2 linked regions of the Nothobranchius furzeri genome follow. The protein of the gene in region 2 purifies or fractionates together with the protein of the main gene of each other region. This does not show direct contact. Links are inferred from orthologs where the notes say so. Each region holds a gene or a part of one and is shown on either strand. Other genes may lie near its edges.

What was found.
Region 1: the proteins of arrdc1b (region 2) and hecw2b purify together in Homo sapiens (affinity purification with mass spectrometry; 3 studies listed by BioGRID and IntAct, counting the BioPlex papers as one, with this or other methods). This does not show direct contact. The link is inferred for Nothobranchius furzeri from reciprocal best matches to the Homo sapiens genes ARRDC1 and HECW2.

Annotation. Positions count from the first base shown.
Region 1 is NC_091743.1:81,272,549-81,280,582, reverse strand, and holds part of hecw2b (E3 ubiquitin-protein ligase HECW2), read right to left. Parts: intron 5,190-8,034; coding exon 4,360-5,189; intron 4,238-4,359; coding exon 4,108-4,237; intron 3,260-4,107; coding exon 3,158-3,259; intron 2,100-3,157; coding exon 1,949-2,099; intron 1,557-1,948; coding exon 1,453-1,556; intron 1,367-1,452; coding exon 1,242-1,366; intron 1-1,241. UniProt on the Homo sapiens protein: E3 ubiquitin-protein ligase that mediates ubiquitination of TP73. Acts to stabilize TP73 and enhance activation of transcription by TP73. Involved in the regulation of mitotic metaphase/anaphase transition.
Region 2 is NC_091746.1:74,983,325-74,991,358, reverse strand, and holds part of arrdc1b (arrestin domain-containing protein 1b), read left to right. Parts: intron 1-2,679; coding exon 2,680-2,790; intron 2,791-8,034. UniProt on the Homo sapiens protein: Functions as an adapter recruiting ubiquitin-protein ligases to their specific substrates. Through an ubiquitination-dependent mechanism plays for instance a role in the incorporation of SLC11A2 into extracellular vesicles.

The DNA of each region.
Region 1 (8,034 bases), on a different chromosome or scaffold from region 2:
GAAAATGATAGTTTTAAATGTAAGAACTTTAATATCTGGCAGAGCCAAAACTGAATGCTAAAAGCAACTGTGTTGTTAGACTTAAGTTGTTAATTTTATTTGATTTTTTTTTTTACATTTTTCTGTCAAAATCATAACAAAAATCCTCAAACAAGCTCGTTGGGCAGGTCCTGCAGTTTTTATATTTCGGCTAAGTTTAGCTGTAACTTCTGTTTAGTACCATCATGGCTGCTAGGCAACAGGACATACGCTGAAGAAGGGGTGGGAATAAATCTTATGGCTAGACAGTCCAAATTCAAAGCCGCTCCCCTCTGGTCTCAAAGCTCGACCCACGTGGAATAAGTCTTTACAAGGATGCTTCTAAAAGTGTCAACAGGTCCAAAAGGTGTACCAGATTCCAAATGTCTCATAAAATTTGAACCCTGAAACTAGGTTGCCTGACAAAATCCCATACAACACTCAGTATAAGCCCAACTGAACCTGAGTTTCTTTTATTTATTTATTTTTTCTTCTTCTCTTCTTCTTAATGCTTTTAAGAATAGGCTTAAAACATTTTTATTTGATAGGGCCTATGGTTAAAATCTGATTTTAGCCCAGATTTGGACAAGTGGGGGAGTAGAGGGAGGTGGAGTGTACAGTCGGTAAAGACGGCTCTCCCTTGCCCAGCCTCCAACATGCCTCCATCTAAAAGGCTAGGTTATCCAGAGTTATCTCTGTAGTTATACTGCTATAGGCTTAGACTGCTGGAGGACACACTGACCACTTTCCACACTCTACTACTTTCTTCTACAGTCTGCTCTTTAACTGTATTATTTCCTGCTATTTCAGCTGTTAACTTTATTTTCTCTCTGTGTTTTTCTCCCCAGAAGAAGCTACAATGATGTTCTGCTGAGCTGTGGTAGCCTCATGGAGGGGGCCATCGTCTTAAACACTGTTGCTAACCATTTAAACATTCTCCCTCTCCTGAAAATAACAATTAACTTTCTTTGACATTGAATGTGCTACTACTAGTTTACCCGTTTAATTTTTGATCCACTAGGATAAATACAATAAAGTTTATCTCTCACCAAATAGAATATTTACTAAGTGAAGTGCCTTGAGACGACTCTTGCAGTGATTTGGCGCTTTATAAATAAACTTGAATTGATATATATATATATATATATATATATATATATATATATATATATATATATATAAATATCAAAGATGACAAGCTGCAGAGGAGCATGAGACCTTACAGGGTTGGAATGCAGCACAGTGAAGAAGTCGGAGCTGGTGAGGAACTTGGCGCTGGGGGACTGGAGCAGGAGTGAGATACGAGACCTGGAGGGGGACTGAGTTGTACTGTTGTCCCTACGGAGTTCTAACACACACACACATACATTAGACAGTAAAGAGATGATAAACCCATGTTTTATTGGTCTGACTGGACAGATGGGGGTGGGGTACCTGGAACAGAGGGGTGCATGTCCGTCTCGTCCCCCGGCAACTCTGTGGCCGGCGGCTCCTCCAGTCTGTTGTCATTGGTTATCGTCCTACGTATGCTCTGATACCTGGACAGGTGTGGGAGGGTATTCAGGAATCACTATAATCCAGGTGGATGGAAACCAGTGTGTGTGTGTGCACTCTATACATCATTCTGAGAACCAGTGATGTACTTTACACTTGTGAGGACATTTTGCTTGGTCTTCAATTTGGTACAATGTAGAGGAATGGTGTGAAGAAAGCTTTAGTTAATGTTAGGGTCAGGAATAGACTGGTAATGGTTATGGTTAGGCGTAATTCAGTCACCAAAATAAATGGAAGTTAATGACAGTCCTCGCAATGGAGGCAAGACGATAATGTGTGTGTGTGTGTGTGTGTGTGTGTGTGTGTGTGTGTGTGTGTGTGTGTGTGTGTGTGTGTGTGTGTGTGTGTGTGTGTGTGTGTGTGTGTGTGTTCTGACCTGCGGTTCAGCTGTTCCATCTGTTGTATGGAGCTGGACCTCTGTAGGGTCTGCGGGGCGGGGGGCGCGGTGGGTCGCTGCCATGTGGTGGTTCTGTTGACGTGGTCCACGTAGAAGATGCGACCGTGGCTGTCGATGCGAGCCTCCCAGTCTGGATGAGGAGGAGGCCCACGGGTGAAAACTAACAGACAGCACGTTCTCGGCTTCTGATGGACCTGGACTTTCTTTCATTTATCAAAACAAGCTTTTTGATTTAGCTTTCAGCTGTTTGTTTTTTTAAAGACGGGAAATAAATGTAAAGTTTTCACAGTTGATCTCACATCAGCCTGGAGGAGAACGCAGGACGCAGCATGTCTCTGGGTCCTCCACACTTTGGGAGCCTACTGTATTTATTTAATATGAGTATATTTTTATGGGTAAATCGTGTCTGTTCGTTTATCTTTCTGGGTTCCTTCACACTTTCCCACCCAGTTTGTATTATTCTGAATCCTAAAGGCTTTTGTTGAACAACAACATAAACTGTGGCTTTTAAAGGGCAAATCACCCCCTAATCAACGTTTCTTGCCAATAAACTATATAAATGAGTGTCTGATCGTGCTGCAGACACGTGTAGTCAATAATTTGGCATTTTAGCACATCTTAGTTAAAATTTAAATATTCTACCTAAAACTGTCGTGTTGCGCCATCATCAGGTAAAAACTCTGCACCGCATTTGAATTTAAATCTGCCATCGCTACTGGCTAAGAGGTATCCTATGATATCAGCTGGTACCATATGATGTCACAATGCCGTTGTGAGCCTGTGTGTGTGTGTTTGTTAACAGCTCCTGCCAGGCAACAGCATTTGTTGCATTTTTAAAACAGGAAGTGGGAGTGGAGTAAGACTCTGGTAGAGGGTGACTTGCTCTTTAATGACCTGGAGGCTCTGGCCCAGGGGGGTCCAAACTTTTAGACACAAAGGCCAAGCTGAAGCTCCTTGTGGGCTATAAACATTTGACTAAAACGTTAAAAAGGAAATATTCTAATAGAAAGAATGAAAGGGGCGTTCTAGTATTGTTAATAAACAACTCTGCTAAAGAAACAGATTCTGGTCATTCGAGTGTGTACTTCTGGCTCTAGCAGATGGGAGCATGACCATGTAGTACCAAAGTATGGCTGATGGATGTTCACACATGAGGTTAGGGATCCACAAACATGGCGGCACACTTACTAGGCGGCAGCGGCTCATCTACTCTCTGGTAGCGACTGATGTCGTGACGAACCGACGGCAGAGATCTAACAGACGGGTGACCATTGACCTGCGCTGTGACACCTGAAGAAAACCATAACCATCATGTCTCTGTGTAGATGATACAGTTATGCTACTGTTTTGCTCCAGCACAGATGAAACACGTCTGGTTCACCGCCCTGCAGCCTGAAGTCATCCCTCAGCTCTACGCTTCTCCCCACAGACTCATTTAGGAAAACTTGCTCTCTGAATGACGCTCCAGTCATTAATGAACACTCGCTGACCCACTGGTGGGCACAACCCTGACAGACCATCTGAATGTCCTCAGGAGGAAACCGTCAGCTTATACGATCTCACCTGTCCTGCTCTCCCTCACTCTGGCCCCGGGCTGCTCCTGGTTCTGAGCCAGACCCCCAGAGGCCTGCATGGACTGCCTCCTCCACACCTCCCCTCCTTTGTCCTCCCCTTCCTCACTGCCACCTTCAGCCCTCACGCCTTTAAATAAAAACAATGTTTATGGTGTCTTTTTGAAGACGTTTCTACACCCCCCCCCCCCCCCCCCCTCATAAGATGTTTTAGAGATGACTTTAGAAGAGTGGAAATAAAAATTAAATATTGCCTGGCTATTAGTCACAACACATAGTGTCAGTTCCCCTGTAGAGTGATTATATGAAAAAAGATCCTTGCCATTACAGCCTCCTGTACAGATCTTGGGGAAGGTGAGGGAGAACCCTTGCTCAAGAGCCTTTTATCATCTTCACATTGGCGGTTTTCATGGCTCTCTTGTTACTATAGGCTGTGTAGGGGGACACTAAGCTTTAAACCTGCCAACAACAGGCCGGTAGAGTCTAAGACTGAAGCTGAGCTTGCTGGGATGTCCACTCCTGGGGTTACTGGTAACTTTAACGTTAGAGTTGTGCAACACCACCTACCTGCCTCTCCTCCACCAGCGGAGCTGCTGATTGGTGCAGATGCGCCAACTGGCCCATTTGCTTCACTGCTCGATGACTCAGCCCCCTCCTCCTCCGCCTTTGGAGCCAGTTCCTTCCTTGCATCAACCTCCTGAGAAAAAGAAAAGGTGCGGCGGGAGGCTGTTCATAAAACAGCAGCTTTTACCCAAGATGACCTAGCACACTGACTCCTTATCTGACCAAATGAGTCTGTGTCTTTGCTCAGAAGCTTACCTGAATGGGTGAAAGAGGACCAGGTTGGGGGTTGCAGGGCCCCATCCTGCTGCTCTGCTCCTGACAGGAACATGCCAAACCAGACTCCTCTTGTGGTTCTGCTGCAGCTGCCTGAGCCCCCAAGGCCTGAGGTGAGGTGGAAGCTGTGGAGGTATCCGCAGAGACCTGCACCACCTCGGCTGATGCTCCAGCAGCCTCCTCAGCCCCGGTTACCGATGCTACTGAACTTCCACTCTCCGCTTCATTGATTCCTCCATTTTCTGCCTCCGCAGGCTGAGCACCAGCAGAGGAACCTGCCTCAGCTCCAGCCTCCTCCGTTGGACCCTCGCTCTGCTCTCCAGACACAACTGGAGCTGTTCTAGAAGGGTTGGTGCTCTGCTCTGTTCTCGACGCATCAGTTTGGTCCCTGTGCTGCCCGGCCGCATCTTCATCCTCATCTGAGTCGATGTGCAGCATGGCGTTGAGCCGCGTGTCGGTCGGAAAGCTGGAGCGGAGTTTTGGTAAAGGCCCCATCGACGGTCGCTCCCCGGGACTCATGGGAGCTTCAAGGGCATCCAGGTAATCGTTGAGCGAGACCTGTCGATGAGTGTGGCCCCCCAGGACCACGGGATGTAGATTGCTGTCTACCATCTGACCGGGTTCGTGCCACACACTGTCATCACCATAGCAACAAAGACCATTCATTGCCAAGGGGCCGTCATCAGAACCGGTGGGAGATGGTCCGTATGTGGCATGAGATGACGAGGAGGGGTGAGGAAGCTCCTCATCATCAGACGGACTTCCGGGGTCGCCACTGCCCAGGATGGTCCCAGCAGCATCTGGGGAGGCCTCTGGGGGGAGGAGGGGGAGATGGATGGGGAGGAGTTAGGAGGAGTATCAACCATATAGAAGGGAAGATATTTGCCTTTTAGAATTTTTTTTGTGTACTTATGTAAGCTGAGCTAGCTAGTTTAGCTAATAAAAGCTACAAAGCCATACAAACGTCTGTTTAATTAACAGAAATGAATGCAGCTCTGCACATCAGCAGTTAGCATGCTAGGTCCTGCCCTAGAGTCCTGCTGTGGTAACCAGTGGTTCTACCTCCTTAGGAAGAAAAGCAGCTCATTATTGACGAAGTTTATTTAATTACAATGAACTCTGCAGAAGGAACAAGTTCATATGAAACTTACTTTTTTTTAAATCACCAAAATGTGTAGAACTAGCCAGGCAATCCTGTCCTATATGTGAATACATAGGATGGCCACGACTGACTTTTTTATTTTTTTATTTTGTTCAATTTTCAATTCAGTTTATTTATAAAGCGCCAAATCACGACAGGAGTCGTCTCAAGGCACTTCACATAGTAAACATTCCTATACAGGTCAGTTCATTAAGCCAATCAGTAACAAGTTTCCTATATAAGGAACCCAGCAAATTGCATCAAGTCACTGACTAGTGTCAGAGTCTTTACAGCAATCCTCATACTAAGCAAGCATTTAGCGACAGTGGAGAGGAAAACTCCCTTTTAACAGGAAGAGACCTCCAGAGGATCCTGGCTCAGTATAAGCAGCCATCCACCACGACTCACTGGGTATGGAGAAGACAGAGCAGACACACACACACACACACACACACACACACACACACACACACACACACACACACACACACACACACACACACACACACACACACACAAAACATATACCAAGTAATGTGTCTATGGCAGGAGTGGGGAACTCTGATCCTCGAGGGCCGGTATCCTGCACGTCTTTGCTCCAACACTTCTGATTCAGTGGTTGATTCACCTGTTCTGCAGCTCATCAGGCTCTGCAGAAGCCTGTTAATCACCTGCTGATTGAAATCAGGGTTGAAACTAAAATATGCTGGATAGTGGCCCTCGATGGACCAGAGTTCCCCACCCATGGTCTATGGTTACATTGTGATTTCTTAGTAAATATTCTATTTGGTGAGAGATAAACTTTATTGCATTTATCCTAGTGAATCTATAATTAAACAGGTAAACTAGTAGTAGCACATTCAATGTCAAAGAAAGTAAAATGTTATTATCAGGAGAAGGAGAATGTTTACATGGTTAGCAGCAGTGTGCTAGCTGATGGCCCCCTCCATGAGGATTGAACTGAATTACAGGGCCTAGTGATGCTGCGTTCACTGTCATAGAGCTCAGTCGTGTCTCTGCATGCTATTAGACAACGAACAACGTGACACACTCACTTCTACAGATGTCAGTCAATGCGACAGTCTACCATACACTGCCAAAGAAGACATTTGCATCCTTTTTCCTAAATAACGACATGTTTTTACAATCAAAATAATTAAAATTACAGGATATAATTAAATATCAAACAGTTCAAATTCTCTTCAAAGCACTTAATAAACTTCTACCAAATAATTTACAAAAGCTATTTATAATTAAAAAGCTGTCACATAGCCTGAGGAGAGATAAAATATTTATATATATGCGAACAACACGTAAAAGCTTTTGTGTGTCTGTGTGTGGGATAAAAATATGGAATAACTTAAAGATTGATCACAAACAACGTCAAAATATTTAGATTTTTAAAGCACACTACAGAAGAACAGTTTGGTTAAAATACATTACAAATGAGAATGGATGATGATGTGAGTAAAGGTGTATGGGAATATGTAATTAATGATAATGACAAGAATTGTTAAATTGTCATTATTATTATTGTTATGATTATGATTTTCTTTGGTCACAAGGTTGTTGAATTTGAGTTAATGCTACATATTGAATGTTAAACTGTTAGTGAAAAATAGCGGTGGGCTTGAATTAGCTTGGCTTCCGCCCACTCCCTTTCAAACATGCCTACAACAATGTCAACTTGATTTATTATTGATTTATATCCTGTTGTTAATTGTGGTGTTATTGGCATGTTGGAAATAAATGATGATGATGATGATGATGATGATGATGATGATGATGATAAAGGACTAAAGGACCTCTATCTGCTCTTAACTCAAAGAAAAGCCCAAGTCTAAACAGTCCACTGTTGATGTCCAAGCCGTTTCAAACGAGCCGTCGCCATCTTGTTTCTCTCTGTCACATCACCCCGCCTACTAAATCGATACAGTGCTGTGATTGGCTAAACACAACACTGCTCAGGCTCTTTGGCAGTGTGGATGCAGAGGGGTTAAAATCTCCCTTTTATGACTACAGTTGGGAAGGGGACTGCTGCAAAAGGACCAGGTCACCCATGAGTGCTTTGGGAAAAGCGTCAGACCTCAGAGAGATGGAACAACGTATACTAAGAGACGCCAGTGGAGAGGACCTCATTTTCTAGTTAATTTTTACAATAATAGTTGCCGGAGGGACTTGGAAGATGATTTGCTTCCATTCTAGTCACCTTTAAAACCAGGGACACTGCAGCTGCTACTTACAACAGCATCAGCATAAGCTTATAGCTGACTAATAGAAATTCTTTTGACCTGTTTTGAGATACTTTGCTCCCAAGTGCAGAGGTGTTGTATGTTTGTTGCAGCCAATGGAAAGAAACTCCACCTGGAGGAGATCATTTGTCGCTGTGGCCCCCAGACTCTGGACCTCTCTCTGTCACGCCCTGCCGTGAGACCTGTTCATCCATCCCACTTCCTGTTTTATTTTGGTGTCAAATCTCCTGTTTCTGTTCTGTTCCCTGTTCCTCATCACTCTGA
Region 2 (8,034 bases):
GGCATCCATCTTCAGAGCCTGGTCCATTTTTACTCCAAGGTTGGAGATTACAGAGGATACATTAGGTGAGAGATAGTTGAGGTCAGGTTGTTGAGTTGCCATGATACTGTTAGGACTGAAAACGAATAAGTCAGTTTTGGAGTCATTAAGATGGAGGAAGTTATCAGCTAGCCATTGCTTGACCTCGAGGATACAATCAGACAGAACTTTCGTTGATTGAGTTGGCTTAAATGAAAAGTAGATTTGACAGTCGTCAGCGTAAAGATGGTATGAGACAGCGTGCTTTCTGAAAATGGCTCCTAAGGGCAGTATATAGAGGTTGAACAGTAACGGGCCGAGAATTGAACCTTGTGGGACACCCCAACGTAGAGGCTGTGACTCTGATGAACAGCCGTCCAACATGACCCTAGCAGACCTGTTACAAAAGTATGACCTAAACCAATCCAGGGCAGTGCCTGAAATGCCAGCCCAAGTGTGAAGTCTTGTGATCAAAATGTCATGATCGATCGTGTCGAATGCTGCAGATAGATCCAAAAGTACCAGAACCACATGGAAACCTGAATCTAAAGCCAGAAAAATGTCATTAAACACCCGAACGTGAGCAGTTTCAGTGCTGTGCTGTTGTCTAAAACCAGACTGACAGGTGTCCATTACCTGATATTCATTTAGATGTTTCACCAACTGTGCATAGACTATTTTCTCAAGGACCTTAGATAAAAACGGTAATTTGGAAATTGGTCGTAGATTAGAGTAATCGGTGGGATCGAGGCCGGGTTTTTTCAAGATTGGTTGTAGAACAGCGTGTTTAAAGGCACGAGGAACTTCAGTTTTGCTGCTTAAACTCTGTTTAAGGTGCATTTTTGTCATAAGATGTAATGCTAATGTTTTGTTCATTACTTTTGAACAACTCTGTTGGTCAGTAAAGGGAGAAAACGAATTTCTCCACAGTAGGACAAAGGTACATCTACCGGTAATCTTAATAAAAACAGATTGGCGCACGGCAGTGACGTAATTAAAAGCGCCGGTTAGATTAGCCGCGGCTAGTCTATTTACGCCTAGAAATCCCAGACCCGCTCCAAACGAACAGGGGAATCATGTTAATGATTCCTAACAAAGCCTTTCGACATGAAGATGTTTTGGTGCAGATAATGTCTTATGTCGAGGCTGCACCATGGGTGCCCGTCCGCACCCGTTATATGGATATACACTGATGGCGATTCGCCGATGGATCTAAATACCCCAGGGAATCCAAGTAGCACCAAAGTTGTCAGCGTGAGTAAACAAACGTACTGCATGCTAGAAATTAAGACCGGGTTGCAATAAATGGGAGTTTCCTTTAAGCACATAAGCGTGAATATACAACTACGTGTCGGACTTGGTATGCTAGCTTAGCTAATACTAATACGTGAGCTCAAATTTGTTGGTGCAATTAGACACATTCTTACTAGATTTAATAAATTTTAGACACCTGTTTCATTTCATCATGCAGTTTGGGGTGTCGGTCTCTCAGACGCTTGGCCAAATGTGTTGTGCTGCTGGACTTCGTAGCGATCTCTTTGTAGCACTCCTTGCAAACGGGTCTGTCATGGTCTGTTGCTTTCCTCGACTCATCAGCCTTGTATCCAAAGTGTTTCCACTCTGCACTTTTGCTCTTTGTGTTGTCGATTAAGTTGGGCTGTGAAGCGCCTCCCGAATTCGCTGTTGCCATTGTTAACGAAACTTGGATCGGAGACAACTCGCGTGGGAAATAACAATGTAGCCATGCGGCGTCTTCTTCTTCTGTTTGTCCGGGAGGCGGAGGCTGCTTTACGGCATCTGGCTGTCGTGTGTGTCGGTGTACTTGAAGAAGGCTGTGTATATGTGAGACTCCATAATATAGATACCATAGAGATGGAATATGTAATTTAGATACCACCTTTAGTATCGATTTATATCTAGGTATTGATTTTTTTGACAACACTAGTCCCACCAAACCAGAACAGGTGAGTTTTCAGCTCCTTTTTAAAGGAGACCACTGACCTCAGGCTCTCAGGAGAGAGTTTACAACATTAGCTCTCTCTTTGCCTCCTAGCTCTGTACAACAAGATGATAGTGAGACCAGACGGCTCCGTCTTTCTGCCTAATCCTCCGGCATCTGTCACATGTTTAGTGTTGGTTATCAGAGTTGTCATTTCCTCACAGACAACAAGAAGAAGCGCCGACACACAAGAGAAGAGGCGCCTGAATCTCAGCACACATGAACATTTCCACTGATTTCTGGTTAATTCTATCATAATAATTCACATTAATGTAGAAACTTTTTGTTCACTCCTGAAATTCTTCATAAAAGTGTTTTTCACTCTGAAGAGAAGGCTGTTTATCTCGTCGTCTGGATAATGAGTCGGAGAATCCAGCGCTACCAACGTTTTATTTACACTCTCCATGCAGCTCGCTGTTGACTCACTAAAACTCTGTTCACACCCTGGTATTATTGCTGCTCGGCGAACACAAACCAATTTAAATGCCCTTTTTGCTCCGTTCTCATGCTGGTCAGGGTGTACAGACTAATTGGTTTTCCCATTTAAATACGAATGCTATATTGTCCTCAATTCTGGCCGTATTCGTCCAGTTCTGTGTAAAGAACACATGAAGAGCGCTAGTTTTTCATTAAGATTAAACGACTTCCTGTTCTCTCCACAGCCATCAAGGTGTTCTGCCAGGGCTCATGTGGGATCTCCACCAAAATGAACGACTCCTCGTGGACTCTGGAGGAGCAGTACTTCAACAGCACTCTGTCAGTAGCTGATAAAGGTAATTCGAGTCTCACTGGGATTCGAAACCTCCATGTTTAAAGGGTCTGCATTGTCACGGCTACTTTAGAGCCCGGAGGTAAACTCTAGCTTTAGCTTTCTCTTGTTTCTGTCCACACTGAGGACAGAGCCGTCCTTTATGGGATGTGAGTGAGCAAAGCAAACATTTGCTGTTGTTAGGTCATAGATTTACCAGGGAAGTGAACAACTGAAGCAAACACGGCAAACCTGCTCTGTAAAAATGTCTCCTCAGAACTAATCTTTGGTTTTAAACAACTCCTGAAAGTCCATGGGGTGTTTCTCAATGTCCAGGCGCCTGGCTTACGAGGACACGGTCCTTCCTTGGTCAAAGAAAACGGTTAAATGGAACAGACTTGCATCATGTGACCGCGGCTTCCACGGCTGTCACGTAACGTCACGTGACACGGGAGACAACATTATATTTTATACGTATTAGTTTCAATATAAATATATAACGAGCCTTTCAGATCACCATTGCATTTTCTTTAACTTGTCAGTTTCTGCGTCCCCACCTCCTGCTCGCCGTCTGGTTAGTTCTCGTTTTCTTAATGAGAGCACAGCTAGCAATTTTTCTGCTGCTTCTGATCCACCCTGTTCTTCTGATAACGACCCAGATTCCTTAACTTCTCAGTTCAACGAGCACTGCCTCTCCATTCTGGACAACATCTGTCCTGTCAGAACCAGATCAGGTCCTGCAGTGAACCCTACTCCCTGGTTTAATGACAGCCTTCGCAGCCTGAAGCGCTAATGCAGAAAAATGGAGCGTTTGTGGAAGAAAACCCATCTCCACGTCCATCTGCTGCACCTAAAGGATCTTCTGACGTCCTTTAACTCTGCAGTCAGAGACGCTAGGGTTTCCTATTTCTCCAACATGGTGTCCCAGAGCAAAGGGAACCCCAAGGTGCTGTTTAACACCATCAGCAGCATCATCTCTCCTGCCTCTCCTACAGCCTCCATCCACTCTGTTGCAGACTGTAAGAACTTTCTGTATTTCTTTGTGGACAAAGTCAATAAGGTTAGATCTAGCATCTCTCCTTCAGCCTTATCGCCGCCTCTCCCGACTCCAACCAGGCCCATCATCCTAGATAGCTTTGCTCCTGTTTTTTTTGCCTGAGTTAACCAAACTAGTTAACTCTATGAAGACCTCTGCATGCCCCCTCCACATCTTACCCTCATCTTTGTTTAAAAGTGTTTTTCAGTCCATCGGTCCCAGCGTGCTCTCTATAATTAATGCTTCTCTGGTTTCTGGTCAGGTCCCTGCTTACTTTAAGAACGCTGTAATCCACCTGCTTCTTAAAAAACCGAGTCTTGACCCCTCTCTCCATAGCAGCTTCAGACCCATCTCTAAACTTCCGTTCATCTCCAAGATCTTGGAAAAGGTTGTGGCTAAACAACTCACAGCTGCTCTTGATGAACATAACATCTATGATAGCTTCCAGTCAGGTTTTCGTAGAGCTCATTCTACTGAAACAGCTCTTCTTAGGGTCTCTAATGACCTTCTGACCCACAGTGATGCAGGGGACTGTTCTGTTCTGGTCCTGCTGGACCTGACTGCAGCCTTTGACACTGTTGACCATCACCTGCTACTGGAGAGGCTGAGAGACTGGGTAGGCCTGTCAGGATCTGCTCTGGAGTGGTTCTCCTCTTATCTCTCTGAGCGCTCCTTTTCTGTGGCCGTCTCCAAGTTTAGGTCCTCCACCACCTCTCTTACCCATGGTGTCCCACAAGGTTCTGTGCTGGGGCCTCTGCTCTTCCTCCTCTATCTGCTTCCTCTTCAGCACATCCTGAGCTCCTTCAAAGGAATCTCCTACCATCTTTATGCAGATGACATCCAACTGTACATCTCCTTTAAGCCCCATGAGATGTCTAAGCTGCAGCTGTTACACACCTGCTTAGACTCTATCAAAACCTGGATGGTGGGAGCTTTCTACAGCTGAATGAAGATAAGACTGAGATCCTCATCTGTGCCCCAGACAAGCTGGTTCCCAAAGTCAGAGACTCTCTTGGTCAGCTTGCTTCCCACACCAAACCTTCTGTCAGGAATCTTGGCGTGACCTTTGACCCAGCTCTCACCCTGGATTCTCATGTCAGTTCTCTTGTTGGCTCTTCCTTCTTCCATCTCAGGAACATTGCTAAGCTGAGTCCCATTCTGTCCCGCTCTGAACTTGAGACAGTTCTCCACACCTTCATCTCCTCACGCTTAGACTACTTTAACTCTCTTTTCACGTGTCTGAGCAGAACCTCCTTGAACCGTCTACAGGTGGTTCAGAACGCCTGTGCTCGGCTTCTGACCAAGTCCTCCAAACACACCCACATCACCCCGCTTCTCCTCCAGCTTCACTGGCTGCCAGTCAACTTCAGGGTTCATTTCAAGATCCTGGTTCTGGTCTATAGGGCCTTACATGGACAAGCACCATCTTACATTGGTGATCTTCTTAGTCCCTACACCCCCAGCAGGTCCCTGAGGTCCAGTGACCAAAGCCTACTGGTTGTGCAGCACCAGGCTAAAGGTCAAAGGTGACAGATCATCTGCTGCTGTGGCCCCCAGACTCTGGACCTCTCTCCCCCTGAGCCTGAGATCAGTGGTCTCAGTGGTCTCCTTTAAAAAGCAGCTGAAGACTCACTTGTTCAAGCTGGCTTTTGTATGACCTTCTTCACCTCTCTCTCTTTATTCTGCTCTCCCCACCTATTCCACCTTCCTCAGGATCCACTGATTTCCCTCTTTCCTGTCCACTCTCTCTCTTTCTTAACATTTTTAATCACAATTATCTATTGTTGCTAACTTTAAATATATTTTTAAGCGTTTTATAAATATTTTTTACATTTTTTGTTTTTGTGAAGGGCCTCGTGATTTGTATCTTGAGAGTCGCTATAGAAATGATATTTTCGTCTTCTTGTTTTACTTTTTAAATTGTGTATATGTTTATTAAGTAATAAATATAAGTGAGTTACTACCCGCTAGCCACCGCAGCTGCAACTACTAAGCTACTAACCAACCATAGATAACTTCTTTGGATCTAAAAAAAAACATTTTAAATTAGCTGACTTACTTTTAAACTTGAAAATTGTCCCCGAAGTAGCTGCCGGCTTCTGATCCGCCGTCCTTTTGAAAATACCGCAGTGTATTCTGAGTAATTTTTGACCAAGGCTAGGCTACAAGACACCTCCCGTGTATCCTCGCTCAGCTAGCTAAACGGCTAACAAACTGAGAACACACGCCACGGTAGAACATGAAAATTGGAACACGTGTTGGCGGCTCCTGATGACGTATCTCCTTGGCAACCGGGGCGGGGCCAAGGCATCAAGGCGAGGTTCCTTGGCATTGAGAAATACCCCTTGTTACCTTCTTTCCGTTTCTTTTCTAGTTGCGTTGTTTTTCTGTTCTTATCTTGTTACGTCCCTCTGGTCGCTAGGAGAGATGTGGTAGAGGGAGTAAGAGATGTTGTGTGTAGGTAAATAATAAGTTTATAATAATAAGAGTATTTTTGTCTCAAACAAAGGATTTTTATTAAACACAAAGTGCCTATAAAAGGGAAAAAGGGTTAACAAAAAGCGCCAAGCCAAAAGGGCTGGGAGGAGAAAAATATCTAACTGAAATATTTACTATTAGTAAAACACTAAATTAAAAAAAAAATACAAATACTAAACAAGAGACGTCCTGTTAAGCAGAGACGCTCAGGAGAAATCCAAAAGGGGGAGTCAAAGGCCAGTCCAAAGTCAGAGTTACCAGAAATCCTAATTATCGAGAGTAAACCACAAAATCACCAAAGTACCACGAAGCAACACACACACAAGCACTCGAGGAGAAGAGAGAAACCTGAACACCTTCGTGCCCAAGCTTCCCTGTACCTTCTCACTGACTGAGGGAGGAGAGCAGCCTTTAACAGCTGCTCCCTGATTGGAGCGATTACAAACACCTGTTACACCGGGAGACAGGCGAGGCAAAGCCACTGAGGCCATCTTGTGGCTGAAAAGTGGTACTGTACGTAACAACAGAGTAGCAAAGTTTTTGTTTTTACCTTGTCTTGCTAACAACTTTGGCAGCTTCACTAATGTGAAGCACCGATGGCCTTGGCGAAGCTCTGACGGCACTGTGAGAAGCCGAAACTGTCAGCAAAATAAGGTCAATGTTGAAACGTTGCTGCTTTGTGTTTAAGATGAGAACAGAAAGACAACAGAACTCCTGAAACGAGCTTCTGTCTGTTTGCTGAAACAGCCCATGGAGGTCAGCCATCGTCTCGTGCAGGTGAATATAAAAAGACTCACTGAAGTCTGATAAGGAGAGGAGTTCTCCAGCAGCATGCATCTTGCATCTTTGGGAACAACTTGTGTTCAAATATGTGAGTTTACAGGACCTTCTGTTGAATATGCTCTTCAGTTTTACTGATCCTGTGCATTGCAGGTTGGAAAATGCACCATGATGCATGAAACCTGTTGTAAATGCAAATCAACCAAAGAGGGGGCCACTGGAGCATGTAATCCACGCCAGTTAATACAACACAGTCCTGCTCAATGTGTAACTTATAGAAAGTACACTGACACAAATACTGCACTGAGGCAAAATGCTGTTTCAATGATACTTTTATTTTATGGTCATAGCAACAACTACTGCTCTTATTAGCAGTTACCCCGGCTTTCCACCGGAGCCGTCAGCAGCACGTTACTGCAGCAGCACGTCTTGCTCGTGTAAGCTGCTGCTTGGCCCTTCCCACGAGACGCGAAGCAGCAGGGGAGCAGCTGTCACCGACCGAGCACGAAGTAGGGCTGGGCGATATGACGATTTTAGACCGTTTTACGATCCACACATCTGACGGTCTGTCATTTTTGAGAGACCTTTTTATCACGATTCACAGCTCTGCTGTTGAATTTCTGCCTCTGAATGAAAAGGGAAGTTACCTCAGGTGAATGACACACCTTTGTTTGACCCTTAACCAATCAGAGTGAGTCATAGTAATATATTAGTGCCCCGCTTGTTTTCACCTGTGTGTGAACAAACATGGCTTTGCCGCGGCTGAGAGCGACAACGAGGTTTTTGTTCCGAAGAGGAACGCAGGGTTTCCTTAGCGCGCGGCGCTAACAACTTAGTGACGTGACATGTCTCGGAGAAAGCGTAAAAACACGTTGGACGCGTCTTCTGAAGCGGGAAGATAACGCTTCTTCTTAAGCAGAGCAGGATGTCGCCTCGGTTCGTTCACGGCCGAGCCGGACTGAGCTCGGTAACATT